2 linked regions of the Arabidopsis thaliana genome follow. The protein of the gene in region 2 binds, or shares a complex with, the protein of the main gene of each other region. Each region holds a gene or a part of one and is shown on either strand. Other genes may lie near its edges. The genes, in order: SCL3 and AT3G45260. A codon is read from its position in the direction of its gene.

Region 1 (15,750 bases), on a different chromosome or scaffold from region 2:
AAGAAATTTTTAGTGATATATTACATTCAAAACCAATAAGAAACAGTACTAGTAAATTTTATAACAATTTTTTTTTTTGATTTCATACCCATTTTATGGAGTGAGAATTCACAGTCTAATTTGTTTAATTATGTTCTCAATGATTTTTTTCTTTTTTTTGGTCAACAATCATCCTTAATATATATATATATATATATATGTGAAGTTGAAATAATATGGGCCGAGAGGTTTGGGCCTGGTTCTGTTTTTTTGTTCCTACTATTAATTTAATTTATTTGTTGAGATTTTTCCTCGTTTTTTAAAAAACCGATGAGAGCGTATCTATATTTCTTTTTTCATTTTTCTCTCCGATCAAAACGCCGCCGTTGCGTCTCTGATTCTTCCTTTGGGTCAACTGAGGAAAAAACCCTTCCTATGAAGAACAACAATTGGCTTCACACTCTCTCTTTTCTCAATTTTGCTTCTTACTTCTTTCCCCGGTACTCACTGATTCTCCCCAATTTTCCTTATTTCGTCGTGCCCTTAGGGTTTCTTACATCGAAAGTTTGGTTTTTGATTATGTTGTCCCGCCATTGCATGACGTTGTTCTGTTTTGTTCTGTCCTAATTGCTTATTTGGGTTTCTGAATAATCTTCAATTGGAGTTTTTTTTTTGTTCAAGCTGAAGAGTTTCGGTGATCGTCCTCTAGAGATTGATGCTAATTTTTTCAAACATTACAAAGTTTCCAAAGCCACCGCCCACTTGAAACATTCTTTTGGTGATTATGATTGTTTATATCGATTTAGCATTACTTTACAATAAGCAAGTGATTCTCTTCATAAAGTATGTAGCTTTACTTTGTTTGATCCTACTCTTTTGGTAATCTTAGTTTCGGATTTGCCTTTCTCGCAATAACAGAGCGCTTTGTAAAGTTTTGCGTTTTAGATGATTAACATTCCTTTCTTGCGTATTTCAGGCTGATTAGAAACTTGACCGCTTGATTCTCTTAAAGGAGGTCTTGCGATGGATTCCGCTATTGATATCAGTTCTGATAGTGATGTCGAGATACAAGAAACTAGAACCAGGCCTCAACATCCCCCACGGATAGCTGAAGGTTGCATTTCTGACCTATCAATTGTTTTATTTGTTTTGCTGTGAGGTTAGCTTTATGGAGTTGTTGATCTTGGTGCAGGATCTCATAGAAGAGATCTCTCTACGCTGAGACCGCACTTTCTTAGTGGGAGTTCTTCCGGTGCAAATGGCCACACTAAAACAGGACTTACAAATCTCGACTCACGTAATGGTTTTGAATCCAAGCCACTGCCTCGGGCAGAACACCATACACATATTCCGGGAAATGGGAGTATCGTAACTTCCAGAATTCCCAATATCTCTGTTGGTGATTATGAGAAATTTTCATCTCAACAAGCTTTTAAAAGGACACATCCACCAACCTTTAGTCGACCTCCTTTTCCTCCTAGACCTGATATTGGTACAAGTAACGGGAATGCGAGTCACTTTCGTGGTGGAGCACATGATGATCTAGGCATGGGGCGTGTGACTAACGGCACTCGGATCCTACCTCCATCTGTGGCGCACGGAACATCTGCGTCTCCTTCACATTTTAATGGATTAAGTGATCCAATGCATAGGAATGGCATAGGCGAAGAAAGGAATTCGGAAAATGACGAGAGGCTGATCTATCAGGCTGCACTACAGGTGTTCATCCTTATCCCAACTTTTGACTTTTGCGATTCTCATCTTAGTTTTTCTTTTGTGCAATGCACTTCTCTTTTTCGCCAGCTGTGGGGTTGTTGAACTTGGCCATTGAATGATTGGAATAGGCTCGTTTCTTCCTGTTTGTTTTATGTCAGAAATGAGTAATAGGTTTTTAAAGGTTCGGATGTCTCAATTTCTCAATGATGCTTGAGACCGGGTAACATGCTGAATTTCTCTGTTTTAGACCATGTGTATGGAAGCATTGTTGTTCTTCCTTTTTGACAAACGAGAAGGAATAGGAACATTCACTATTGTTGCATTCGTCTCTTATTTCGCACTGTTGCATCAAGGTTATGATTTCCATTTGAAGAGTTTGGTGTTTTTGCATAATTCCCCTGGTATGAAATGGTGTGATTTAAAAATAAAGACTTTTGCCCACAATATGAATTGGTGTGATAAGTGCTTAAACTTCTGATAATTAAGTACATGTTTTCTGCAGGAACTGAATCAACCCAAGTCCGAGGTCGATTTACCTGCTGGTCTTCTTTCGGTTCCCCTTATGAAGCATCAGGTATTCAGGTTTACATCATCTTTCAGTATCTGTCAGAATGGTCTTGTGTACTTAACACTGTTGTTTCTCAGAAAATTGCATTGGCATGGATGTTTCAGAAGGAAACTAATAGTTTGCACTGTATGGGAGGGATATTAGCTGATGATCAGGTTACTTTTAATCGTAGTTATTTTCCGCTTAACTATCTATGATCTTACTAGGTTTCCCTCAAATTCCATTTGGTCTACTGCACAGGGCCTTGGTAAGACAGTCTCGACTATTGCGCTTATCCTAAAGCAAATGCACGAGGCAAAATTAAAGTCCAAGAATTCAGGCAATCAAGAGGCTGAAGCATTGGATCTGGATGCTGATGATGAGTCAGAAAATGCATTTGAGAAACCAGAGTCTAAGGCTTCAAATGGTAGTGGTGTGAATGGTGATTCAGGCATAAAGAAAGCCAAGGGAGAAGAAGCGAGTACTTCAACACGCAAATTCAACAGAAAGAGACCAGCTGCTGGTACTTTAATTGTTTGTCCAGCAAGTGTTGTGCGGCAGTGGGCAAGAGAACTTGATGAGAAGGTTACTGATGAAGCCAAACTTTCTGTTTTAATATACCACGGCGGTAACAGGACCAAAGATCCTATTGAACTAGCAAAATATGATGTGGTTATGACAACTTACGCCATTGTTTCAAATGAAGTTCCAAAGCAACCCCTGGTTGATGACGATGAGAATGATGAAAAAAATTCTGAAAAATATGGTCTCGCTTCTGGCTTCTCCATCAATAAGAAACGGAAAAATGTAGTGGGTACTACTAAGAAGAGTAAGAAGAAAAAAGGTAACAATAATGCTGGCGATTCATCTGACCCTGACTCTGGTACTCTAGCAAAAGTTGGGTGGTTCAGAGTTGTACTAGATGAAGCTCAAACAATTAAGAATCATAGAACCCAGGTGGCAAGAGCATGTTGCGGTCTTCGAGCCAAAAGGAGGTGGTGTTTGTCTGGAACACCAATACAAAATACAATAGATGATTTATACAGCTATTTCAGGTTTCTAAAATATGATCCATATGCTGTGTACAAGTCATTCTGCCACCAAATTAAGGGTCCAATTTCCAGAAATTCCCTTCAAGGGTACAAGAAGCTTCAGGCTGTTCTAAGGGCTATAATGCTACGCCGTACGAAAGGTATTTTAACTATCTCACTATTCCTTTTAGTGGTTGGATTGGTGAGGGACAGGACTTGACAAAAGTGGTATATCATATGTCATGCATTTTCTTATTATATCTGCTTATATCTTAGATACTTTATAATGAGATTAGCTGTGATCTTACCTGAGCCATTACCTAATGATAGTCCTAAAGTTAAGTCCAATACTATTCTTCGGTTTGTGCATTTTTCCATTTCATTTTACTCTGATCTTCTGCTTTTAGATGATATATTTTTCATGTTACTCCTCTTATCCCTCAAGTAACTGTGTTGTTTTTGAGGGTTTCTGATAAGTTGATACTCTTCTTCTGATCTGCGATCTAGGAACATTGCTTGATGGCCAGCCTATAATTAATCTACCACCAAAGACAATTAATTTGAGCCAGGTGGACTTTTCGGTAGAGGAGCGGTCTTTCTACGTGAAGCTTGAATCCGATTCCCGTTCTCAGTTCAAGGTGCTCTTTCTGTGCTCCTCCAAACTATCAGTTTATCCTTGGTTTATAGCTGTGATCTGCACGTTTTTGAAAAATATGATACTTACGTAGTAACTAGCAACTTGATATGGTATAAACATAGGTTATGGAGGCATTTTCGTTGAAAAAAATGTTTTGCAGTGATTCCTGATTTCCTGTCAAGTATGTGAGATGATATTTTTTTCTCTGCAGGCATATGCTGCTGCAGGAACTTTGAATCAAAACTATGCAAACATTCTTCTCATGCTTTTGCGACTACGCCAAGCTTGTGACCACCCCCAACTTGTTAAAAGATATAACTCAGATTCTGTTGGAAAAGTATCAGAAGAAGCTGTTAAAAAACTCCCTAAAGAGGATCTAGTTAGCCTGCTCAGTCGCTTAGAATCGTCTCCCATCTGTTGTGTCTGCCATGTAAGTGCATAATAATTTAGCAAATATAAGTAGCGTATCTTCAGGTTCGCCATAATCTAAGTCCCTAGCTGCTTGTTCTGATTTTCTTTACCCATAAATTCCGTTTTATTTTCTCTTTGCAGGATCCACCAGAAGACCCTGTTGTTACTTTGTGTGGCCATATATTCTGCTATCAGTGTGTATCAGATTATATCACAGGGGATGAGGACACGTGCCCTGCGCCTAGATGCAGAGAACAGCTTGCGCATGATGTTGTTTTCTCTAAATCCACGCTTAGAAGTTGCGTTGCTGATGATTTGGGTTGTAGTTCCTCAGAGGATAATAGTCATGATAAATCAGTTTTTCAGAATGGCGAGTTTAGTTCATCAAAGATCAAAGCTGTCTTAGATATTCTGCAGTCGCTTTCTAACCAAGGCACTTCAAACTCAACACAGAATGGTCAAATGGCTTCTTCCTCGCAGCAGCCGAATGATGATGATGATGATGATGATGATGATGTCACCATTGTCGAGAAAACGAGTCTGAAGTCAACTCCTTCTAATGGAGGACCAATAAAAACGATTATATTTTCTCAGTGGACTGGTATGCTTGACTTGGTGGAGCTATCTCTAATTGAAAATAGTATAGAATTCAGAAGATTAGATGGTACAATGAGTCTAATTGCCAGAGACAGAGCTGTGAAAGAATTCAGCAACGATCCAGATGTAAGTCGTATGCATATCTGAAATCATTTTTTCCTAAACAATTTTCTTAGTGGTGGTGTATGTGTTCCCTCCTTTTTTTGTTTTTTTGTCTTAAACAGGTAAAAGTGATGATAATGTCTTTAAAAGCTGGAAATCTTGGGCTGAATATGATTGCTGCATGTCATGTCATTCTTCTTGATCTATGGTGGAATCCAACTACTGAAGATCAGGCTATTGATCGAGCACATCGTATTGGACAAACTCGACCTGTTACTGTAACTCGTATTACGATAAAAAATACTGTGGAGGATAGAATTTTGGCTCTCCAGGTAAAGATCCCTTATAGCTGATACTTGTTTCCCCCCTCAGTTTCTCTCATTTGTGGTTGTGTGATTTTTGGTTATTATTATAGGAAGAGAAAAGAAAAATGGTTGCGTCTGCCTTTGGTGAAGATCATGGTGGAAGCTCTGCAACTCGATTAACAGTTGATGATCTCAAATATCTATTCATGGTGTAGCTGTTCTTAAATCTTGGGTTGGCGAAGTTTCGCTTCTTTCAGAATTTTGATCATGAGCTGCATTCTTGTGTTCTTCAGGTTCACAGATTTGAAATGAGGAAATATGTAAATAACTTAGCTGTTGTCTCATAGTATATATAACATCAGAGTATATACTTTTTCTGAATCAGTTCATCCGAGATCTTCTTTCCTTTTGGGATCACATTACTCTTTCAATCTTATTATCAAGGTGTTTTGATCATGCAACACTTTTGCATGAGAAACACTCTGTGAATTTGCTAAGACAAGATAAAGACTAGATTGCTTAAACAAAATTCAAATATAAATGAAGCAAGAAGATTAGGTTAAACTAGATTCAATGTAAATGAAGCACGTGAACTTTAGGTTACAAAGTATTTGGACAGCAGATAAGTCGTATACTCTTTGGATAGTGAACATGTCCTTTAGTAACCTAAATATATATACCGAGTTTAAGTTATTTACAATACACAAATGACAAGATCACCTGCTTAAAGATAGGCAAAGTTTGGCTGGTCTCTGAAAGAATTTGGAGTTCTGAACTTGAACCGATCATCAAATTAGTTATCTTCAGCTCAAATTGGATTTGGTTTGGTATTACACCCACACCAGACCAAATTGAACCAACACACAAAGGCTTTACATGCAGAGGCAGTAGAAGCATTTAAGCCAAAATAGCATAAAGAGACAGAAAGTCACCATCACAAAACAACTAAGATTGTGTCCCCATGTATACAAAAAAGAAAGGGACTCTGCTCATAACCAAAATAGAAGACAAACTGTAATATATCATTCACTTCCTGCATCTCCAAGCTGATACCGAGTATAGAGGTCGATCTTGCCAGCAAATTACTGCGCACCCGCTCTCTTCCTTGATTCTATACCCATCAAAACCGCACCCTTGAAGCAATCTCCTAGCCTGCAACATCGCATAATAGCTAAGAGGAACATTCCCAAAACCAGCCAAATCGATCCTCTGGCTCCATTTCTCAAGCTTCTCGTGTCTTTCTCTTCTCTCAAATCCCTCGCAGGATATGATGTTCTTGATCTCCTCCCCGAAGAGCATCTTCTCCACTTTGATCCTATCTTGAGACGTTCTTGGAACTTTTGTTTCCAAGCAATCAAACAATGCTGCGTAGGTGTAAAGTGATTCTAATAGCCTCTCCATTAGTGTGGAGCCGTTGTGGTCTGAGTCTTGCTCAGTGACCACCATGACCTTTGGAGACAAACCCCAAATAGCATTGAGGAAGCTATCAGTCCTTCCTGAACTTGGTAAAGGCAAAGATGAGGCCGAGTCACCGCTAGGGCTATACCCATTGTTGTTACTCATATCATTCTCACGTGCCTCAGCTGCAGAGCCATGGCTCATCATTAGAACTCTCTGCAAGTCAACTCCACTAGGGTTGTTCTGAAACCGTAAAGCGCAGTTCTTTCTCATGAGATCATCATCAGAGGCCAAGAAGGTATGCAATTGAAGAACCGAGCTAACGGCTAAGGCCTCTCCTGTTTTAACCCGCAACTGTTCTACATTTAAACAGTCTAACCTACTCACAACGGGATTAAACTGAAACGGGATATCGAGTTTCTCTGCTTCCTCAATGAGTCTATGAGCCATTTGTTCAAGCACTTCCTTCTGGTGATGAACACCAGTGATTCTCAAATGAGGTGGACCTTCAGGCCTAGAGTTAAAAGCTTGAAGCAAAGCAAGCCATTGAGCTGGCTCAGAAGCATCGAGATCAATCACATGAACCATCTTCTCTCCTTCCATAGCCTCGAGTATAGCTCGATTAGTGAGCAAGTAAGAGACTTTGAGTATCGGGAACATCTCAAAGAAGAGTCTTCTAACATGAATCTCCTCAGAGACATTGTTAGTTCTTGTCTGAGTTGCGTTAAGAGCCTTGTAAAGACCAGGCCAGGACTTAAGGATTCTGTTAGCAAGCGCTTCGGTGAAGTAAGCAGCGATTCGCTGCATCGTGTCGCCGTCAGGAGAAGCGAGGTGAGAGAGCTGCTCGAGCGCTGCGTTAGCGTTTTGGAGGCTACCTGAAGCCACGTGGTTGGCACAAGTTAGCAAGAGGTGGATTAAGTAGAGACCACGCTCCTCTGGTTTGAGATCTTTGAGACAATGAAACGGAGATGAAGAAGCGAGGAGAGTCGGTCTGTTGAGTGACATAGTTGAGAAGACTTGAAGTGGTGATGAAGCTACAGAAGATGTTCCATTATCTTCTTGAAACATAGCCACCATTGAAGGCCAAAAGCTTGATTTTGATTTACTCAGAACCAAAAGTAACCTTTTTTGTAAAGAAAGATTTAAACTTTGAGAGACTCGTAACGAGAAGAACCAAACCCACGATTCGGAATTTCTTGAAAGATGCAGAGAATCTGCAGTTTAACAAAAAAGGGGGTTAAAGAACAGAGGAACTAGGGTTTGCAGAGAAAGTACTGAATTTTAAAAACCTTTGAATCTAGTTAAACTATTTGAAATAGATATAGACGAAGAAACACAAACAGAGAGCTGAATTAAAACTTTCCTAATTTGATAAACTAAGAAAGAAACAAAACAAAATAATAGCAAATGATCAAAGAAGATAACAAACAACAATAACCAAAGAAAAAAACTTACATGGATTTAGAGAAAATGTCTAAAGCTTTTTTTTTGGGAGTGAGAGGGTTCTCTCAATCTTTATCTCTCTATCCACGTCTCTGGTGGTTATCTTGTGAGTAATAGCGTGTGTGTGAAATGTTGTTTGTGTTTTGGGAAAAAACTTTAAGAAAGAAAACACTAAAACAGAGGCATTGTTCCTTTTGGCTCTACGTACCAGACAATGCGTGATAGTCGGTTTTGTCTTCTTCCTTTTTGTTTTTTTCGTTTCCTCTTTCTTCTTTCCTTGGTTTTAAGGAATTATTAAACAAAAGGTTGTCAAATTTTCCAATCCCATCCATCTATCTTATACTATTATGTGTACTAGTACTACATGAATGAATATCATATAAGAATACGTATTTTGATTTTGAGTGCTCTTAAAGTGGTGTAACATTAATAAATAAAACTGAATGAGAGTGTATTAGCTTATGTTGCATTTATAAATAAAACTGAATAAGAATACATCCATCAATCTTATACTATTATGTGTATTAGCTAATGTTGCATTTTCATTTTCTTTTAAATTTGTAAGACTTGTAGGAATTAGTCTTATTGATTATTTTTATAGTTATTATTTTATATAAAGTCAAGATAAGAGAAGTTTCACCTAGAATTTTCTTGATTTAGAGGAACTAAGAAGAAAAAGCAACACTTAATTATGAAGGAAGAAGAAGTTCAATGAACCCATTTGGCATTATACAAATTGGAATTATCTTATAATAGATACATACACGAATACAACATATATGTCTGTATTCGAGATTGGAACCTCCACTTTTATGGGTTTTTGTCATGGCATGAGGTGGATTTGGAATCATGACTATATATTTCTACATCAAAAAAATTGTTAAAGAGAAAAAAAGAAAGCTGTTTTGGTAAAATATTGATTCTGAGAAGAAGGAAACGTCCAAACACGCCCTAACAAAGACAAAACAAAACCCAAAAACCATCTCTTTTGTTTTTGTTGTTTTGTTAGAAAAACAAATAACAATAAAAGAGATGAGGCTGAGGCTTGGGTGTGGGATTTGTCTGTCTTCTTTAAATGTTCATTGTCTTTTCATTACTTTTCTCTTTGTCTTTTTCTTCTTTTTAATGCCTACATTTTTGTCTTCTTCTCTTCTTTCTCTCTCTCTTTGTTTTTTACTGTGTGAGAGAGAACATTATTCAGTTTTTAAACTAAAAAGACCATTGACCAGAGAGATTCTACAGAAAAAGAATGATGCTATTTTACTACTATTGTACCTCAACTTTTTTTTCATCTTATCAATAGTAAAATAGTACTATAAAGTGAGAAAAATATGCATCCATAACAACACAGTAAAATTGTTTTAGTATGAAATTTGTTTAGCTTTGACTACAAATTAGAGAATGGTAAGTTTTTGTTATTAAAAACTTTGTAGTTAGATCTCATGATATCCAAACATAGAATCACAATTTTGCTGAAGGAGCTTGGTACGAAGACCGCCTCAGAAGTAAATGATGGTTCTGTTTTAGCAACTTTGGATGCTGCTACTCGGGTTGAGCTTCTGAGCTCCCCTTCTTATGTCTTTTTGTTTGAGCATTTGTCCTCGTAGCTTTTTGTGTATACTCTCCACGTGGAGGCAACTCTCGTTTAAAGTTGAATGAAATGTTAGTTTGACCAAAGAAAATAAAAAATAAAGAATCACAATTTTGTGAAAACTGTGTAATAGTAGTTTTGTGGATCCTCCAGAACACCAATTAAGTCTAAAAGTGAAGTCAACTTGATAATGTCGGTGAGTTCTTTGTGATTGAAAAACTGAAAGAACACTATCAATTCTTTGTGATTATTCATGTATTTTATAGGGTTCAAGTTCAATTAGTGCCTGTACTTATAAAAGACTTCATTTGATGTAGTTAAAATATTAGATGGATGAATCAACTTATTTGATGCATTAAGAAGCAGTATAATCAAAATATCAAATAATAAAATTAGAAAACGGCAGGCTAACTTTGATAATCTAGGGAAATACATAAGTGTAGCTAGAGATTTGAAAACCTATAGCATACAAATCAGCAAAAGAATGTCTATCGCATCAATTTGCATTTTTGTTTTGGCACGGTCTTTTGATGATTCCAACGTTCGAATTAACGTAATAAGTAGAAAATGAGAACAACAGACTTCGTTACAATCAATAAATTCCCGGAATGATCCTGTATTTGACTTTCTCACAATACAGCTTCCAATATTTCCCATACCTTTTTACCAAAACAAAACCCGAATATTGTCAGCAAATCAGAGTAAGATCAAAGAGGATGTGTAAAATAAATCATTTAGATTTGGTGCTTACTTTGATCGGCATCGGTCATCGTCTCTCTTGGCTCGATCAAAGAGAAGAAGGGTGAGAAATATGACGTAGAAGTATGCCAAGAACTGGTTTAAACAAAGATGATTTATATGTTAAGTGCGTTTAACTTGCAAGAAGAGCTTCGAATATAGCAAATAGATGGATAGTATTTTACGTTATCGAAGAGAGCCGGTACGGTCCAGAAGAAAGCACTTAAGATCTCAGGAACATAATGGAAATGACGAGCCAATCCCCACCTGCACATTCAAAGCCATTGATGATGAACAACGTCTACTTTTATGGTTGTAACTGTATAATGTAGAATAGTCTCACCATCCAGACGTTAAGAGAAGACTAGTTTTAGTTTCACCAGATGTTGTAGTATACGACGCCACAATCTGCAACAAACCGAGAGACCAAGAGAGATTCATACACATCAAAATGTTTAGGTCTGAAAAGGAATATAGCTAAGTTCACTAAGCTAGTTGGGGCTTATTATGATCACACCTTTGACGGGGCCCTTCCCCAAACCAAACATTTCCCGTTTGTCCTCCTGAACTCTTGCCTTTGTCTATCACAGTCATAGTTTATGTAAATGCACAGAATTCCTGCAACGAGAATGTATATTGCCAACTGCAACCAAAGACGGATATAGTGAAGTCTTAGGTACGGAGATAGGCATATATGTCCCGATGATCGTAGCATCAGTGGTGTTTTCATGAACAGCTTTCTTCTACTACTAGAAAAACTGATATCTGGCAACTACAATCATGAGCATAATATGCAACGAGCATTTGATCAACAATCTACACTTTACTCTCTCCCGTCTGTTTTGTAATGGAAGATACCAAGTAATTCAATAACAAGAGTTAAGTGCAATTCCTAGAAATTGGGATTTTCACATTTAGCTCAACCTTACTTGTTTTTTTTCGTATAAAAAAGTGGTATCCTAAAAGTTTCTCATTGGATTAACACACAAAGACGATTTCTCTCTTCTAGACAAATTCAAAATTATGCACCTGAGTTCCGAGTTCGACGGGGTGGTTCACAAGGTACATGCCTGGAGAAGTGTAGACAGAAGGCACCCACACTAGACAACCCCAGCATATATAGAATCCAGCTGAAGAATCATAAATTATAAAGCATTGAAAAGTAAGCTTAAGTTCATGTGTTAAAGCCAGTAACAATAATCTGAATAATATGCTGCTGCCTTAGCCATATAAACAGAACTGGCAAGGAAATTATAGCCAAACAGTAGAGAAACTTTTGTTATTACTACTGGCTTTCTTTCCTTGTACCCTATATGAGGATGTGATGATATAAATTTTATATATGTACCAGAAGCATACCTCGGTCATGTGCAATGTCCATGGTGTTCCAATAACCAGCTTCCCACCAGAAGAATTTTGTGACATACACCAGCATCAGGATGGTGTTCACCAGCATTGAATCAGATACTTTGCCATTTATTTCATACTGGTTAAAGAAAGTACAGGAATCACAAATCAGAAAGAGGTGAAGCTCTCTAATGAAATAAGGACTTAAAGAAACCACCAGACTATGTCGTCAGAGTGTAGTATTTACATAAGAATTATCCAGAAAATACCTGTTTTATGCAGTACGTGACTGCAAGAACTGCCCAAGACATCATTCCGAATCTGCAATTAGTAAACACCTTGATGTCAAAGCTCTTACCAATTCGAGGGTACAACTCCATGCCCTGCAAAGCACGACGCGAAAAACACAGTGAGAAAAAGATTGCCACAAATTGGATTGTGTTAATGATAAGTTGGAGCAAAAGAGTACATGGTGAGAGAAGATCTCAACTTGATATTGTTATAATAACTACTGGATACTTTGTTCTTTTCCTTCACCGACAGACATTCACACCAAACTAGTTCTCTTGTACTTAAATCAATAAAAAGATAAATACTGCTAAGAACATTTCCGTTTACAGGTCTACTAAAATTGGAAACTTTAGTGAAACTTGACCTCCAAATGTCGAGAAAAGAGGCAAAAATATTATGAGGAGATGGCTAGTAAGACCAGAGTTCCTCAAATAAATCCCAACAAGCAATTTCAAAAAGAATGAGAATCTGATCAGCAGAAATAACTCACCCAATAGAAGTCAATTATTAGGTTACCACATGAACCAGAGTCACTTGATGAAGGTGCAACATGGCCCTGTACAAGAAAAAAAAATAAGTTTTAGCAACACAAAAGGTCAAATTCTACAAAAATAGAGACTAAGAAAACAAAGAACACACCATTCATGCAATAGACACTTACTTTTATGTACAACAAAACACAAAATATGAAGCTTCCGAATATTAGTGCCGAAAATATTTCACCCAAGTGATCATAGACAATTGCAGGGTTGAAGATTCCAAACCTGAATAACGCACAGAAATGAACTCACATAGGTGCAACACTTAATCCAAGCTTAAGATACGTAAACAATAACTTAAACCAAACCAAAGTCATCGGAAACATTTCTTACCACCAAAGACCAAGATAGGTTGCTAGTGTCACAAAGTAAGCAGCCAGACCATTGGCCTGCAAGAAAAGAACCGTACAGTTGTCATCTGCATCAACTTCCACCACACAAGACTAAATGAACATACCTTGTAAACTGGTCGGTTTCCGGCTGGAGATATTGGACCCTCAACTCTTTTACCAGGCAGAAGCAGCTGAAGAATAGCTTCAAATGCTCCATAGCAAAATATAATTTTCCAAGCAATCAAAGTGGGTCTTGGCCATATGTTGATAAGTCCTTGAACTCCATTCTCCCAAAAGAAGCCAAAGGTCTGAGTAACAGAACCATCCTGATGAACCATTGTGTACCATCTGCATCATAAAGAAATGAAACTTGTGAGCATTACTTAAAACTCACTAAATATGATTTTGTAGCTTTAAATCTACCCTTGTTTCCTAAAAATCTGGAAACTCACATTGGCCAGAGAAAGAATCATTGAATCGCTTTTTCAATTAAAGACTCTTATCAAGTCCTACTTAATGGGAAAGGATTTAAAGATATCGGCTATGCACTTCTCGCTATGAATTAAGGAGCCAGAAAAGTGTGCGAGTCTGATCTGAGAACTAGAATAAAGACTTGCGAATCAGAAATTGATGAGCTTACAGGAGAATGACGAAAGGTGGACAGAAGGCGAGAAGCGATAACATCGATGCGTAAGTAACGATCGGAGAATGTACAGTCTCCGCCATTTTCTTCTTCTGCTTCTCTCGTCTCGGCCAAAGCCTCAGATTCTGATCTGTGTTGACTAATCAACAGAGTCTGCGAAGTTAACGATGAAGACGATGAACTTCACAGGTCTACTGTGAAACTCAGATAAATCCCACGTGTCACGTGCTCTCCACATGTTTTTTCTAATTCCAATTTTACCCTTGAGACTTTTCTTCGCCATCGTTTTTGATTGATCCCAATCTTCTTAGCTTCTTCTCTCTCAACCCTCAAAAGATCTTCGTCATCTCTGTATTCAACACATAGTGATGAATCGAGACTAACAAAATCAAATTCTCTTCACTCTGATTCGCAGTCATAGTTTACCAATTTCTTCTAACTCGCAAGCAATGGCTTGCCTTGGAAGAAAATTCTCCAGAATTGGTTGAATTCGTGTAAGTATCGATTTTTTCTAATGTTTTTGGTAACTCCCGGCGAAACCTAGATCTAGTTTTCTGATGCTGTGTTGAATTCTTTTGCGTTTCTCAGTTTTTTTTCATTTCCAGAAATTTTAGTATGTTTAAGAGATGCAATTAGTGCCTAGTGATGATGATGATGATAGAAAGGAACAGATTTTATTCGACGAATCAACATCCTCAAACGAAATCGTAGCAGCGGAAAGAGGAGATCGTGTTGTGGAGGAAGGACAAGTTTCAGAAATAGCTGAGACTGATGATGACGAAACCACACTTCTTGTTTCTGGAGATCAACCACAATGTCGAATTTGCCTTGATGTTGGAGGTATAATAAAAGCAATTCCTTAACTCAATTGAGTGAGGATACAATGAGACGACTTGGTTTGTTCTTTGATTGCAGGGGAAGATCTGATTGCTCCGTGCAATTGTAAAGGTACTCAAAAGCACGTTCACAGATCTTGTCTCGATAATTGGCGCTCCACCAAGGTATATTATCGTCACCGTTTCCAGAAAGTTTCTTCTTCTTTTGAATGAATGGTTTACTTAGCTTATGAAGTGTATTTTGTTTCTATGCAATATATGTTTCAGGAAGGTTTTGCATTTTCGCATTGTACAGAGTGTAGAGCCTTTTTCAAACTCCGAGCCAATGTGCCTGCTGATAGATGGTGGTTGAGATTGAGATTTCAGCTGCTGGTTGCTAGAGATCATGCCTTCATCTTCATTTCTGTCCAGATGGTACATGACTTGTTTCCTTTTTTTGATTTTAGTGTTTAATACACTTTCTTCTTCTATGATGTTACTAGCTTCTTGACTCCCAATCTCCCATTTTATGACCAAATTCGTTGTTTCCTAGCTATAAAATTGGTCATATAGCTAAGGATTTGCATTCTCATGATTGAGTTTAGTGTTTATAGACTTTCTTCTATAATGTTACTATATACTAGAATTCAATCATGAGAATGCAAATCCTTAGCTATAATTGCCACATAGCAGTTTATGACCAAACTATTGGTTTCTTATCGCATTTGAACACCGAAACAGGAGATCCCTTGTATGAATTCGGATTGGATGATACATTTGATGCTCTTAGTGAATGCATTTATATACTAATGAACAAAGGCTTCTCGTATCAACAGATTGTAGCATTCTTGGGGTTACTAGTTTACAAGTTCTACGGTGAAGAACTACGAGAAATGTTTGGTTATGAGGAACATCCTTATGGGTTCTACACATTGGCTGGTACAACTATTTTTGTTTTCTATAGGCTCATGGACATTAGCCCAGTCACCAGGATTAGAGTCAATCAGAATCATCTTTGTGCTGAACCACTTGAGCGTATAATGAACATGATGGTCTATTTTTTGTTGCAGTTTTGGCCATTGTCTTGGTAGGACTGCTATATGGATTCTTCATCGCCATAATATGTGGCCAAAAGATCAACGAGCGGCATTACCATGTTCTCGCCAAACAAGAACTCACAAAGGTCTGATATCTTGCAGCTTTTCTGTTCTTGATTTACGGTAATCACTTTTCTGGTATACATCACTGTTTTCGTGTCACTCACAACAGGAATATATAGTGGAAGACC
Region 2 (15,690 bases):
CCTGCCGCGGGCATAAGTCTTGCGTCACAAACGAATACGCAGAAGAGACTGTGAACTTGCCATCTGGACTCTCACCCCATGAAAGTCTATCACGTGCCCCTGTGAAGTTATCAACTACGATTGCTGCCAGTTCCATCCTTTTTTCCTCTGAAACCCACAGAGCTATTCTTGTCAGATCCCAGCCTGCCTCTTCCCGCCACAGATCCCGTACAAAGAGTTGCTCAAAACCCAACGGTAATGCACCCACAACGTCATCAATCAAAGATTTACTCGACAACCACTTATCTGTCCAGAATCTTATAGATCTCCCATCACCAACTTAATTGTACTCATAGAATGAACGGAAATTGAATTTAGCACCGCCTTAGTAAGAGTAAGTCTTCCTGCGAAGCTTAAACTCCCACCTTTCCAACCTGCCAACTTCGACGATACTCTCTCAAGCACCTCTTTGAACGTGTCTTTATTTATCCGTTTCTGAAGGACCGGCATCCCAAGATATTTACCTAGATCCCGTGTCGATTTTATCCCACTCTCTGTAGATATCAAACCTTCTAGATCCCGAGACACGTTCCTAGAAAAGAAGATTTTCGATTTCTCTAAGCTGACTTTTTGGCCTGACGCCAAACAGAATCTTTCCAACACCCCTCGGATAATCCTGATTTGAGCTACTGACGCCTCTGCTAGCAAAATAAGGTCATCAGCAAAGCAAATGTGAGAGAGCTTCGGTCCGCCTTGAGACAGGCTGATCGGCTTCCATTTTTTCTCCATCACCGCATTGTCAATCAAGTGACATAGTCTCTCCATGCACAAAACAAAGAGATACGGTGATAAAGGATCCCCTTGTCGAAGTCCTCTTAACGGCGTGAAAGATTCAGTCTTCTCACCATTCCATAGCAAACTCATAGAAGGACCAGACACACACTGCATAATCCAATTCACCCAATCTCCGGATAAACCAGCCGCCAATAACGTATCCTCTAAGAAATCCCAACGAATTCTGTCATAGGCTTTCTCTAGGTCAAGTTTAAGAAGCATCCATCCCTTCCTGCCCTTCTTTCGTTGCATTGAATGGACTGCCTCTTGAACAACCACAATGTTATCTGTGCTCAACCTTCCGGGAATAAAGCTTGATTGAGCTGGCCCTACTAGTTTTGAAATAACTCCTTTCAACCTCCCCACCATTGTCTTAGTAATGATTTTGAAAAGCACATTACACAAACTTATAGGCCGAAACTGAGTGATTTTTTCTGGTTTCAAGACCTTTGCTATGAGCACCACAATCACATCATTAGCCTTAGCAGGTAGCTGTCCTGTTTCAAAAAAATCCAGAGCAAACTTACTCACCAACTCTCCTACGACATCCCAGCAAGTTTGATAGAAAATTGGCTGATAACCATCAGGACCTGGGGCCTTGAATTTACCCATACTACGCAGCACCTGTTCTACCTCTCCCACAGAGAACTGCTTGTTCAGATTAACATGATCAGTAGTAGATAGCCTCGCAAACCCTTCTTTTGGCAATCTGTCAACAACCGGATCCACATCATCCAGCGAATAGAGTCGTCTATAGTATTCAAGAGCTAACTTCTCCAGTTCCGCCTTATCCACAACCCATCTATCCTCTTCGTCCTTTAACATATCAATTCGATTTCTCCTGCGTTGAATGATAGCAAAGGTATGAAAGAAGCTCGTGTTCTTGTCACCATGAACCACCCACTTCTCACGTGACTTTTGATACCACAACATCTCCTCTTGCTCAAGCACCATGTCTAGCTCCTTAATTAACTCAGCTTCTTGCTTCAACAGATCATCAGTTTGCGCTTGTTCCAGCAAATCCTGGATGATGGTTATATGCTTCAGTAGCTTCTCCTTCTTCAAATGGATATCCCCAAAAACCTCTTTATTCCATCTTTAAAGAGTAATTCTCAGTTTATTCAACGCTTCTTGAGTTCTCAGCTCTCTATCCCAAGATGTCAAAAGCAACTCTTTGAAACCCTCATGTTGTAACCAAGCCGCTTCGAAACGAAAAGGTCTTCTAGAAGGATCACATCCCGTCTTCGGCAGCAACTGAAGATACAGGGGAGCATGATAAGAAGCCAAACAAGGGAGATGTGTCACCGTAGCCTCCTGCCATTTCAGCCTAAAGTGAGCACAACATAGAATCCGATCCAATCTTTTAGCAATGTAAAACTGTTGGGATTTCCCTCTCTTCCATGTGAATCGATTTCCTTTAAATCCCATATCTATCAGGGACAACTCGTTTATCCAATCTCCAAATGCTACAGAATCCGGGGACAAACAACCATTACCGCCCGTTCTTTCATCAAGTCGGACTATTGTGTTGAAATCTCCACCTATCACCACTGGTCCATCTATTCCCCTGATTACTTCACGAAGCTTCTCCCACAAACCACTCCTTCGGCTAACCGTAGGAGCAGCGTACACAACTATCAAATTAAGTATCTCGAACTCATTCTCTATACGCGCATAGACGAACTGCTCTGAAGACTCCTTAATCTCAACTTTCCCAATTTCCGACCTCCATAGTACCCAAATGCCACCCCTCTGGCCAACTGCGTCGATTCTGAAACTATTTTCAAACCCCAAACCATGACAAATCCGATCTGCTCTCGCCCCTCCTGCGTGCGTCTCAAACACCGCCAACAAATCTGTCTTGTATTTCTTCAAAAGATAACAAACTGATCTTCGAAAGTTAGGTTTATTCGCCCCCCGGCAATTCCACATAATGCAATTCATCATTAATAATCGATAAAGAAAAAGAATAACCGGGGCAACCCGTCACAGAAGAGTGAGCTCCGTCGATAACGCTGGCGCGGCCCCCTGAGTCCCTCCCGCCACAACCACTACATTATCCTCCAAACTCGGCCTAATCTCCTCCGCCACTTCCATGCCGACCAAATCGGGTTTCTCATGTCCAGGTTCTCCGTCAACTCCATTGAAGAATGACCCTCCTGGTCGACCCAGACTTATCTCTTCTATCCTCACACGTTTACCGTTGGCCGAAAGCTCATTACTCTCATGGGCTTTATGACTCCAGGCCCGCCTATCCCGTAGCCCTTCTCTAATTACTCCTTTCCCTTTTCCCTCCGTTGTAGCGACAAATTTGGTAACCTTAACTTGCTCCCCACTCCTATCTTGGACCACTGAATTCATGGGATATTCATTCTCCTTATTATCCGTAACACCAATAATTTCTTTCCTTCTCCCCTCTGTTTCCACATCCTCTCCCAACTTACCAAATGAGTTCGACGTCACAACCAACTCATTTCCTTTTTTCCTCACATGATCCCTTGATTTGCGATTCACATTAACTCTAGCCCCACCTTGTGCATTCACATTCCGGTTAACCTGAGCCACCGTCTTCCTTTGTCTTACCGGGGTGAATCCATCCCCATCATGTGTAGGAACAACCGGATTCTGAACATTTTTGGTCACTTCCACACTCATGCTCTCCTCCCCTATTCCATGCGAGACCCCCCTAGGACACTTATGAACAAGGTGCCCATACATACCACACTGTGAGCAGATGTTCGCTAACCCCTCGTATGAGACATAGAATCTCTCCCCGTTAACCACCACTGTTCCTTTAAGAGGTTTCTGCAGATTTACTTCTACACAAATCCTGGCAAAACGTCCCCTTTCAAAACTGAGTGTGTTTAAGTCCACCTTAATAGGTTTCCCCAAGCTATTAGCAATCCCTAGTAGGATGTACTTATGATACAGATTCCATGGAAAGTTTGAAATCCGCACCCACACCGGCGTCGTAACAATCTCATCCCGCAAGGGATCAAAATCAGGCGACCAAGCTTGTGCGATGAGATAGTTCCCAAACGCCTTCCACGGGCCCCCAGTAAGCGCTGCCAGATACTCCTCTTCCATCTCAAAACGAATCATGAAAAATTGTCGTGGAAGATCCATGACGTACATTGCACCGCAAGGCTTCCACAATTCTCTTAACTTTCGATTCAACACCGGCAACGAAATATGACGACCCAACACTTTCACTACCATACACCTTTTCCACAGACCATTCATCGCATCCACCACTTCTTGACCAATCGTAATGACCGGCTCACCATCCTCACCATTAGGAAACTCCACCCGTAGTCTCTCTGCAACAAACTCCTCTGAGATGACTTCTTCTGGGATCGGGACTCCTCCCACACTAGTCCCCTTAACTTTCTGCACCCATACTCCCGGATCATCTGGTGGTGCTCCCGGTGGACGAGACTTCACACCAATATCCACCATGGTAGCATCCCGCTCCCCTGCGCTCGAAACCCTAGACTCGCCCATTCTCAATCCAGTACCCGTAAAAAAAAAAAAAAAAAAAAAAAAAAAAAAAAAAAGAAGCTATCTTACAACTATTTTTTTGAATTTTAATCATAAAAAAATATATTAAGAGCCCATAGAAAAACTGTCTCCAGTGGAATACTTTTGTTAAGCTCTTAAGCAGGTTTGGCCCTTACGGAGTTTCCAATATACTAAAAGCTCGTAAGCAGGTTTGACCCTTATATAAAATTCAGCAAACTGGTGCTCTATGCATCAATTATGATAAGTCTTATGGTGCAGTGGTTTATGTCACAAATGTTGGGTCTATCCTTGAGCACTCTTTTTTTTTGAATAAAAAATATTTTAATTATATAAGTAGGACATATATACATAAGAGACTTTGGGCTGGACATACTCATAAAAAGCCATGCGAATTGGCCTGGCACAACTCGTAATTTTATCTGCACAAAACAGATAGACCAACTCTGCTCTGCTTTCTTATGGTCGGGACCCGCTCTCAGCCAAAAAAAAGCAAAAGTAGCCTGGCAAGATGTTTGCACACCTAAAGAGCAGGGAGGTTTAGGCCTACGATCGATCAATGAGGCAAATAAGGTCAGCTGCTATAAACTAATCTGGAGGTTACTATCATCAAACTCTCTTTGGGCGAGATGGATACACATTTATCTTATCAAGAGGGCTTCTTTCTGGTCAATAAGCGAAACTACTACACTGGGATCTTGGATGTGGAAAAAGTTGCTTAAGTATCGTGATTCAGCGGCTGGTTTTGTTAGAGTAACAGTGAAGAATGGACTTGGCACCTCTTTCTGGTTTGACAATTGGTCCCTACTTGGGAAACTAATTGACATTGCGGGACATAGAGGATGCATAGATATGGGGATAAGCCTTCACTCCTCGGTGGCAGATGCATTTGAATGTCATCGAAGAAGGCGACACAGACTTGGTTATTTGAATGATATTGAGACTGCGTTGCAGGAAACACGACAAAAAAGAGTCGCTGGAGAAAATGATGTAGTACTCTGGAAAGGGAGAGACGACCGGTTTAAACCGGTTTTTAGTACGAGAGAAACTTGGGACGCAATCCGAGAAGCCAAGCCACGAACAGAATGGTATAAGGGTATATGGTTCGCCCATTCAACCCCAAAATACTCTTTTATCTCATGGCTTGCAACAAGGAACAGATTGGCCACAGGTGACAGAATGCTACGTTGGCGGACTGGAGTGCCCATTATGCGTTCTCTGTCAAGCACCATTAGAAGACCGAGATCATCTTTTCTTTAGATGCAAGAACTCTGAGGAGGTGTGGTCCGGGCTAAGTCGTACTCTTCTTGGCACAAAATTCACAACAAGATGGAGTGAAGTCCACAAGACACTCATAGACAAAACCATTGGAAAAATCAACCTCTTCTTAATAAGGTATGTCTTTCAGTTGGCGATTTACTCAATTTGGAAAGAAAGAAATTGTCGAAAACATGGTGAAGCTGAAACACCATCAGTCCATCTAGTCCGAAATCTTGGCAAGCAAGTTCAAAACCGCATCTCATCAATAAGAGAGCAAGGGAATCGCACCTACGATGCATGCATGAGCGTATGGTTCTCCTCAAGATAAATCATAATAGAGTCGTAGCTCATTAGTCTCTATTCTTTTGATTTCTATGTTTTAAATACAAACTTTCTACTCAAACGATGCACTTGTTGTACAAAAGTTTTTCGAATAAATTTTAAATTTTATTAAAAAAAAAAAAAAAAAAATTTTAGATATCAAAGTTTCAAAAAAAAGTTTAACCTTTCTACGATGAAAAAATAAAAAGTAACAAACTACGAACTTTTCATAGTTTCTTTTAGGGTCTTTCAAAATTAAAACATGAAATAATTACAAGAAAAAGAAAAAGAAGAATAAGAAGAATAAGAAAAGACATAGCGTATGTTTTGCTGTGCATGCATGGTCAGAGGTTTCGTCATGCATGCAGAAGTGGACCCGAATAGCTTCCCATCTTCATCAACCGAGTGGACCCATCTGCAACACCGAGTTGACTCAGAGATTCTCTCCTGAGTCAAAAGTCTCATATTTCACCGTTTTCTTCGCCGTGCTTAAACCATCCTCTCGTCACTTGAATCTCATACTTCACGTCTCTGCACTTAGAGAATATCATAAACAGAGGAATCTCGATATTTCTCAAAACTCATATAACATAATGTAATTTACCTTATAGTATACATGAACAATACAAGATTACTGGTTCATGTCGGCGGTTGGTGTGCCGTCCGTGGAGGCCGGAGGAGACGAGTCTGGAAGATTATGGTTGACCATCAATAACGGCCAAGAACGGTGTTGACTTCCCACACCAAGAAAGTCTCTCGTGAAACCTCTTTCATCAACTTCCTTAGTTTTGATATTCTCTGCTTGTTTGTTGTTGAAGATAGAGGTCATTAGACCAAAAGTCTTGCTATTGCTTGAGCTTGATGATGATCTCTTTGATCCCATTTGAGCTGCCTTTTGTAGCAATGCCGTGGCTGACATTGATGCTATTTGTCCACCGTTTTGGTTATAATTATTAGTGTTGTTTCGTGCTTCCGAAGAGAACAAAGAACCATTACTAATCACATTCTTCATCTCATGTTCTTCTTGATTTTTGGAGATTCCCCTTTGGAGAATGTTGTTGTTGTTGTTGTTGTTTTCGTTGAGAAGCCATTGGTGAGATGATTGTCCTTGTAAATGCCATAGATTTTGAAGGGAGTCGGATGCACTACGAGGTGATGGAGATGATGAGGACGCAAAAACGTTGGTTGGTAAGGTTTGTCCCAAAAAGGCAATGTTATTGCGATTGGTATTAAAACCAGGTTGGTCCAATTGTGACGAAGTAGTATTAAGCTGTCGTTGTTGATGATTTTGGTTGATATTTCCATGGTTGACTTCCACATCCAGGGCATTGTTCAAATATGCGGGTGCTGGTGGAACTGAGACAAATCTAGCACTCTCTTCAGCTAAAGCGTCACAGAATGCTCTATGTGTGATGAAACTATCTTTCCTGTTCCAATCCAATCATCCAATATATACTAATTCAATAAAGAGATCTTAGCTGATTTTAGTTAAAGCCAATTGAATTTAAATTAAACTAAATGTTGTATGACATTGTTTTTCATGAAATTTAAATTTCGCTCTTTAACAAAAAAATTTGACTTAAAAAAGGGTGTTGTAATACATACCTGGAAAAGAGGGTACCACAGTCACATCTGTATTCTTTAGTACCACAAATCTTGCTATGAGCTTTCCAATCGGACATGACAGCATATTTCTTGGAACACTTGTCACATTTCCACTTCTTTTCACCATGTTTCCTGCTGAAATGCTTCTTAATTCCAGTTAAGTCACCAAGGGCTCGGGCCGGGTCATGGTGTACGCAAGTCTTCTCTGGACAGATGTACACTTTTTTCTTCACTTGCTCCTTGTTTGTCCTTTGCTTTAGCTTCCATGGAAGGTTATGGCCTCTCCGGTGAAGCTGAAGGTTCTGGTCTCTCTTAAATCCTTTGTTGCAAACCTCGCAGATGAATCGATTAGTTGTCATGAGGGAGTTTGGTGATAGAGCGATGACTTCTGCATCTGGATCTGGTGTTTAAATTTCATTTACCAAATAAGAACCAATGAATTAATTTATGATAAATAAAAAAGAGATCCAAAGCTGGAACAAGAATATTGTTCTTGATCGAAAAAAAAAAAACAAATTAGCAAGAAATTCATCTATTTTATATGACAAGTCCTAGATTTAGATTAAGTATTTATATACATGCCTGGATTTCCCGGGAGATTTCTCTTCCTCTTGGCTGAGTTAGAGGAGGTAGGATTAGGGTTAGGGTTAGGATTTGGAGCGATGTGTTCTTGGTGAAGGACATAGCTGGGAAATGAGAGGGGATGATGATCATCTGGCATCATCATGCTGATATTGGTTTAGTTGAAAGACAGAGAAAGAGAGAGTTTCTAAGTAAGAAGACAAAACAGGTGGACAGAGAGATATACAGAAAAACTCTTTAATTCGTCAATACAGTTCTCTACTAAATCAAGTAAAATTCTGAGAGCTAGCAAGAAGACAGAGAGAGTTATGAAGAAGAAAACAAGTAAGAATGTAACTAATTATATATTTCCATTATACTATATAGAGAGAGTTATTTTTATATACACCTAATTTTTTAAAAAATATATAAAATTTATGATTTTATTTGATTTCCCATTATAATATAGGTTTTGTAAGCTGACTATTATATTTTCTTATGGCTGTTAGCGTACAAGAAGTTCAACTATTGCTAATAGTCCTTGTTTTTTTATATATCAGAAATTCTTATTTCAATTAATTGATGAATGTTTTACACTAGTTTCTTAATAAAAACAATCCCACAAGACTTATAGAGAAGTAAGCACTAGATATTTCTAAAAGTTTGATGACTTGAAAAATAGGGATGCCCATTTTTTCCAAGAAAATTTCAAAAAGAATTTTGTTTTTGATTGTTTTTGGGGTCGTCGGTACAAATTTTTATTATAATAGAATTTTGTTTTATTATTTGTGATAGTAAGCTTTTGGACACTTGCAAAGAGTCCTGTAGCATAAAACCAAAAAGAAAGCTGGCGAAGAGGGAATCTCTCTCTCTTCACACACGACTGTTCTTCTTACAAGTCGGTCAGCGATAGACTCAAACTGGACCACTTTCTATCTCTCTAATTCTCTATATACTCTCCCATCTACGTAACGCAAAGTATACATACGTACTCAAGTCAAGTGTATACGTACAATACAATCTACAAATACATAAATACATATAGGGTGCATAATTTATCTATGAGGTGTGTAAACTTTATGACATTTCTAACTGTAGGCTCTTTGGATTTTTCGGAGTCTCTTTTCATCCCATATATATATACAATGAATTCATTTATATATATAACAAATCAGTTCGATAAGTATATATGTAAAGCCGAGGAGAAAAGTATAAATAAAAAACATATAGCTAGGTTAAACCAAGGCCATGTACGACGACTACAAACAACATAAGTGGTTTTATTCAGACTTGAAAACAAATCTTTTTGGTAATTAACCAAAATAAAAATAAAAAATTGAGTTGGAAGGTTTTGTTATCCTCTTTGTTATTTTAAAGCTAACAATTTTAAGATACTAACTAATAACTCAGAATTCCTTAACTAATTCTGTACAGTGTGTGTTTTAGCTTAGATAAATTTCTTTTACATCAATTAACCTGCTCTAGTCTCCCACACGAGGATATTATGAGATTTAGATCCATTAATCAAAAAAAAAATTAATTTACATTTTGAATTTTTAGGTAATTATATCTTGAGATCAATCTCAATATCTCATGATTCTTTCTTATAATATCTAGAGTCTCTAAGAACCTAAGTTCCTAATCATAAATCCTAACTACTTCTTGGGTAAGAAAGAATAAAATCCAAAAGAAGTGATGTAGAGTTCTAAAATAGACACAAGGGTCGACAAGGTTTGGATGGGTCCCATGGAAAAGGAAGATAGATCTCATCTGCTTGTTCAGCCAAAGAGATACTGTTCCTTCTCCCTATCCAAAATCTGCTCTGAATTTTCTTATTCACTTTAGTTTTCCTTTAGAAAACCAGAAATGATTTTGATCATTTTGAATAGATCATAAATAAGGTAATCTTGTGCTAGAAAAAAGGAGGAATTCTTAAACATAGTTAATGATCATGCAGGTTGATGATCTCCCTAGTCTAGAATTTGAAGGGCATCATTAATAGATTAGGATAAATGGTGATATATTATATATCCAAGACAAGTCCATTGATTCTGCCAACCAAAATAATTTTTGGATTTTGTTTGTCTTATTGGAAAATACAAACCATAATATAATGACAAACAAATCTTTAAACTTATATGTCTACTTTGTTTATGTACTCTCTCAAAGCAATAGGAAGTTCAAAGTGTCTGACCAAAATAATATCAGCTAGGACTAAACTAGTTCGTCTTGGGCTTTTCAAATTTTTGTAGAATAAATCATTTTAATCAAAAACATAAAAGTGGCTAAAACATAATTGATTTGGGAAAACAAATTCCTACTTCACTAATACAATGGTGGTTTTTTCTAGGTCTGGGCGTTCGGTTATCGAATCGGATTTGGTTTGGTTGTTTCGGATTTCGGTTATTTTGGATTTAGATTCTAATATCCATATGGATAATTATAAAATTCGGATCGGTTTCGGTTTAGATATTTTGGATTTTGGATCGGTATGAATATGATATTTAACATCCGATTGAACCCGAATAACCGATATTAATCCGAACTTAAACCGAAAAAACGAGCTATGCAAAAAATGAGTAGATGAAATGAAACCATAGCAAAGCAAACCATAAAGTTTTTGAAACCAAAGTGAGGCATAAACTATGCCAATACATCAAAGTTTTGAAAGAAAAGTAAACCATAACATCTTAAAGAGTGAAGAAGTAGCAGAATTCAATTGGAAAGTAGTAAAAAAAAAAGTGAAAGAGAGTGAAAACAAGCCAACAACAGCAACCTCAAGCTTCTTCTTTGCCGCATTCTCAAACTTCACCATGTTCTTGAACCTTGATACAACAAAATACTTAACTTCTTAATCTATGAAATACATGAATCAAAAACATCAAGTTTAAAACAATTTACCTTATAGCCGATTAAAAAGTTTGAGGATAAGAGTCTTCTAAGCAGAGTTGCCATCAAACTCTGTAATCAAGAAAAACAAGAAATTAAAACTGTGAACAATTAAAACTATTAAGAGAGAATTGAAATAGAGCATAAGGGATGAATTTACCTTTTTCAATGTTATCTAGCTCAACAATGTCGGCAAGCAACTCTTTAATGGTAACAACAGATTTATTACCTAAGTGATTCACATTCTTCATCCACTGCTCTGTGCACAACAACACTTTAACCATATAATGAGTTAAACAACTCCTATGTGGCTCTATGACTCGACCACTGTTACTAAAAGCACTTTCAGATGCAACCGATGACACTTGCATTGCAAGGACATCCTTAGTTATTGCAGACAAAACAGGAAACCTACCACAATTGAGCTTCCACCAAGAAAGTACTTCCCACTCTAATCCAATGATAGTTTTAGGATTCTCCACTTTCTCCTTCAAATACACATCTAACTCGTCCCTACCATCATCAACCCCAATCTCATCAACCAACTCCTTATAAGCAAAGTCCATCCTCTCATACCCCATACTATCAGACATCAAATCAGAGGGCTCACCTTGGCTAGCAGTAATCGAAGTCTGAGTGGACTGTGATGATGGACCACTACCACTTGATGTTTTCTGAAAACGACTACTATACTCCTTAAACAAGGAAGTCAAAACATTGTTGACCTTTTCAGCCATCTCTTTAGCATCAGTAGTATCTTTCCCATAAAGCTTTGCAAAACACATATTAGCAAACTGCATTTTCTTCCTTGGATCAAAGACACTTGCAACTATCAGATAAACATTAATGTTTCTTGTTCCATCCCAATACTTAACAAATTTTCCTAACATAGCTTTAGCCTTAATTTTCAGATCCCTGTCAAAATTATTGCCTAGTGACACCAAATTCGTCTCTATAGTCACTATCTCACCATAGCACTTATAAGAAGCTACTGAATTAGAAGCAGACACGACCAAAGTGGAGTTGTAGAATATGATCAGAAATCTCACTAACCTCTCGACTGCATTCCAATCAGCTCTTGTAGGTGGCCCGATCTTGCTTTTCCATCGTCTACTTCATTGAAGTAGTCATTATACAACTTATCTTCAGCTTCCATTTTATCAAATGCCAACCTGAACTCCATAGCCCTTTTCAGCATCAAGTAAGTAGAGTTCCACCTTGTTTTGATGTCCAACGGTAAACTCCCTCTAGTCATCTTGCCTGAGACAACTTTCTGGTCAAATGAATCACACCTTGAAGTAGAAGACCTCACATACTGCACTGAATTGCGTATGGCTGCCACATGATCACCCAATTCAACCAAACCCTCCTTGACAATTAAATTGATTATGTGAGCAGCACACCTCACATGCATACCTTCGCCTTCTAAAACAAATGCTTCATTACTCCTTAAGCTGAATGTTTCTTGAAATTTCTTCAAAGCAGAAGTGTTTGTTGTTTCATTGTCCACTGTGATAGTGAAAATCTTCTCTATTCCACACTCAGCCAAACACTCAAGAAGAATCCTTGCTATTGTTGCACCTTTGTGATCCGTAATGTACTTAAACCCAATGATTAGCTTCCTTAATTTCCAAGCAGAATCAACAAAGTGAGCAGTAATCACCATGTAACTAGCAACTGTAGCTTTAGCTGTCCAGATGTCTGTTGTCAAAGAGACTCTTGGATTAGTAGTCGCAATCCAAGTCTTCAGAGATGCTTTCATTCCCACATACATTTTAACAATGTCTTTCATACAAGTTCTCCTAGAATGTGGCGCATAGAGGTTTACCTTTTCACATAAATGTTTCCAAGCCGCGCTTTCAATGAAAGAAAGTGGTAATTCTCCCAGCACAAGCATCTCATTTGAAGCTTCTCTTAAAATCTCCTATGTAACTTTCCCACTCTGAAGATGTCCCTGATTGTTGAAAACAGTTTGTTTTGCTTTCTGACTCCATGCTTGATAATGCTTGCAGATTCGAAGATGATTCTTCAAGTTTGAAGTCCCATCTTTAGAATCACATCCGTAGGTTCTGTGACAATAGTTGCACTTGCATCTCTTAGGATTATCTTCAAATCTCGTGTAATGGTCCCAGACAAACGACCTTTGACTTGGTTTCTTTGTCTTAGGTGGTTTTGAAGTAGCTCCACTATCTTCCTGAACATCCTTCCTTTTGTTAGCAGCATCACTTTCAGGTTCAGTCACTTTCTCATTCCCCACATCACTGTTGCTTGGAAATGGTGATGAATCCATCTAAACATAAGAATAATGAGAAGTTTTAACATAAGAATAATGAGAATCCATCTAAATATACGTTCACTACTCAAAACTATACTCTCACAATCAAAAATATACTCTTGCTACTCAACAAACATCCATTGACACAACAAGAGGATTAGAATCGACTAAGAATTTAACTCCAACATACACAAATTTTTAAAATCCAAACAAAGAATTTATCATTAGCTATATGACTAAATCAATTTAAATGAGTTTCAATTTTTTTTCTAATGAAGAAGAAGAATCAAAGAACAAAGACGATAGCTAATGAAGAAGAAGAATTGAAGTTCAAACACATACCCGAGATCGATTGCTTGATGCTTCTGATGGAGGCGATTGTGACGAAAGAGAGCTTAAGAATTCCATATTGAAAGAGCTTAGGGTTTTATGGTTATAATCTAGAGGAAGTGGATCCCGTATTGCTAGGAAAATCAAGAAGATTAGGGAAGTGGATCGAATCATATTGTTTGATAATCATCATAAGGGAAGTGGATCCAGACTTCGAAGGCTAAAGAGTAGTGTATAGAAGAAGTTCTTCGGTTGGTTTCGGATAGCCATATTATTTCGGTTCGGATCGGATAAAATCCGATAACCGTGGATATAGAAATCAATAACCGAACGGTTAATTGAGCGGATTCGGTTCGGTTTTTAATCCGATTTTCCCAGTTCGGATGCGGTTCGGTTTATCGGATTCGGATTAAACGCCCAGGCTTAGTTTTTTCAGTATTGGGATTTTGAAGGTATTATAGAATGAATGAATATTTTTTGTTTATGAACTAACTTGACATATTATTTTATTAATAACTTAGTTGAGGGGTATTTTCATGAGAAGAAATTATCTGAGGGATTTTTCTGTTGAGGTTTAAAATAGACCAGCCAATACTTGAGAGAGTTTTTACCAATATCCTTATTTAAAATTTATTTGAAGATTTTATATCTTTTGCTATTTTAATAGACTTACTGATAATGGTAAATTTATGAAAGACAAAAAAGATTTTTTTTCAAAGTTTTTGTTAATATTTTTCTTAAAAAGAGGTCTCACACAAGCTGACACCATCCGACGCCATAATAGCAACCATTGTACATGTCTTCCTTCTTTATTGGCTGAGGACTGGAAACCAGCAAAATAGGCAGCTTATTGTACAAGTCAATCTAAACATTGACCACTAAATATTTTTGATTTTTATTTGTAGTTTTTTGGATCGACAAAACTCAACGAATATACCGATAAATTCTACAACGCATGGTAATGAGACTGAACCGCTGTAAAAATAACATTTAACCATTAGATTAAAATAAATTTCTCATGAAAGTTGTTCTGGGTTCTTATTATGTTTTGTGTATCCTTGTAATATTTTTATAAGTAATTTGCATGGATTTCTTTGTTTGAAATATTATTTACACAAGATTTCTTTTAGTGGACTTAAACTTTTATTGGTATGTGACAAGTTATGGTCCAATGTGAGCAAACAGATAGGCTTCTTCAGTGTCCGATCCGTAGAGCATCTTTTCTCAGTTCGATTAAAAGACGCAAGAGAGAAAGCAAAAAAATAATTCTGGTTATAGATTCCACAAAAATCATTAAGAACTAATTCATAAGTTTACTGTTCTAAAATACTATTATTATCTCTAATTTAATGAACAAAAAGATATTGTTTCTCTCCACACTCTAGCACTTTCTTTTTCGTAATCTCTTTACTTGTATCAAAACACTTTTTTCTTTTTTTTTTAATCATTTTCAGTATCATAAGATATATTGTTTTCTTCCATGTTTTCTTCATGATAATGTCAAATATGAGGTTTGTAATTTGAGCGACAATGCTTACAAAGAAAATAAGCCACCACTAATTATGAAAGTTTCTTGTAAGGAAATCTTTTTTGTAAAATTTTATATAGATATGTGACTATATATATTTGTTCTTAGCATATAATTTCACATTATTTTACTCTAAAACGGTATCTATTTTTAAAACAAAGATAAATTTTTTACTAGTTGAGAAAATGAATAACTTTATTTTCAGGAAAAAAAAAACAAAGATAATAATACAATGTGAAAAAATCTAATCGATTAGTTTCTTTTATATAATGAAACATATCACAAATGGTTAATAAAATACAATGTATTCGTTTTCTCCCAAAGGTAAGATGTCCTAGTAAAATTAACACATGTATGCACAAAATCCAAGAAAAAAACAATATAGATCGTCTACTAAAAGGGTCATAATTATACACTATTATAAATACTATGAAAGATGTTACGATTACCATCACAAGACAGACTAGAAATTCTATAAACACTTGAAATGAGTGGGAACAAGCGAGTGTCTGTGTCCATCTTAGTAGTGATGATAATGATGCTATCCATTTCCCAAATTACGAAAGGTAATAATGATTTTGCCTTTGCT

The links.
Region 1: the proteins of AT3G45260 (region 2) and SCL3 are in contact, whole or in part, in a crystal structure (PDB 6KPD), measured with the Arabidopsis thaliana proteins. Residues at the interface, in NP_001327332.1 of Arabidopsis thaliana: Met352, Ser353, Ala354, Thr355, Leu357, Leu358, Lys360, Ala361, Ala362, Met364; in NP_175459.1 of Arabidopsis thaliana: Glu48 (codon at 7,659), Gly51 (codon at 7,650), Leu52 (codon at 7,647), Ile55 (codon at 7,638), His56 (codon at 7,635), Thr90 (codon at 7,533), Met91 (codon at 7,530), Tyr367 (codon at 6,702), Ala370 (codon at 6,693), Ala371 (codon at 6,690), Asp374 (codon at 6,681).

What each region holds. Positions count from the first base shown.
Region 1 is NC_003070.9:18,671,826-18,687,575, forward strand, and holds SCL3 (scarecrow-like 3), read right to left. Parts: upstream 8,476-15,750; 5' UTR 8,179-8,475; intron 7,938-8,178; 5' UTR 7,801-7,937; coding exon 6,352-7,800; 3' UTR 5,869-6,351; downstream 1-5,868. Other genes in the region: AT1G50410 (SNF2 domain-containing protein / helicase domain-containing protein / zinc finger protein-like protein), read left to right, coding at 1,003-1,093, 1,172-1,698, 2,198-2,269, 2,341-2,418, 2,504-3,434, 3,781-3,911, 4,122-4,340, 4,463-5,044 and 2 more; DWF5 (Ergosterol biosynthesis ERG4/ERG24 family), read right to left, coding at 10,350-10,416, 10,509-10,591, 10,681-10,762, 10,839-10,903, 11,013-11,138, 11,525-11,625, 11,855-11,981, 12,112-12,225 and 5 more; AT1G50440 (RING/FYVE/PHD zinc finger superfamily protein), read left to right, coding at 14,274-14,487, 14,563-14,648, 14,751-14,897, 15,299-15,401, 15,533-15,645, 15,732-15,750. UniProt on the Arabidopsis thaliana protein: Probable transcription factor involved in plant development.
Region 2 is NC_003074.8:16,590,306-16,605,995, forward strand, and holds AT3G45260 (C2H2-like zinc finger protein), read right to left. Parts: upstream 8,507-15,690; 5' UTR 8,246-8,506; coding exon 8,101-8,245; intron 7,919-8,100; coding exon 7,519-7,918; intron 7,341-7,518; coding exon 6,545-7,340; 3' UTR 6,518-6,544; exon of another isoform or gene 6,445-6,517; 3' UTR 6,053-6,444; downstream 1-6,052. Other genes in the region: AT3G45275 (ECA1 gametogenesis related family protein), read left to right, coding at 15,589-15,690. UniProt on the Arabidopsis thaliana protein: Transcription factor that, together with JKD, regulates tissue boundaries and asymmetric cell division in roots by a rapid up-regulation of 'SCARECROW' (SCR), thus controlling the nuclear localization of 'SHORT-ROOT' (SHR) and restricting its action.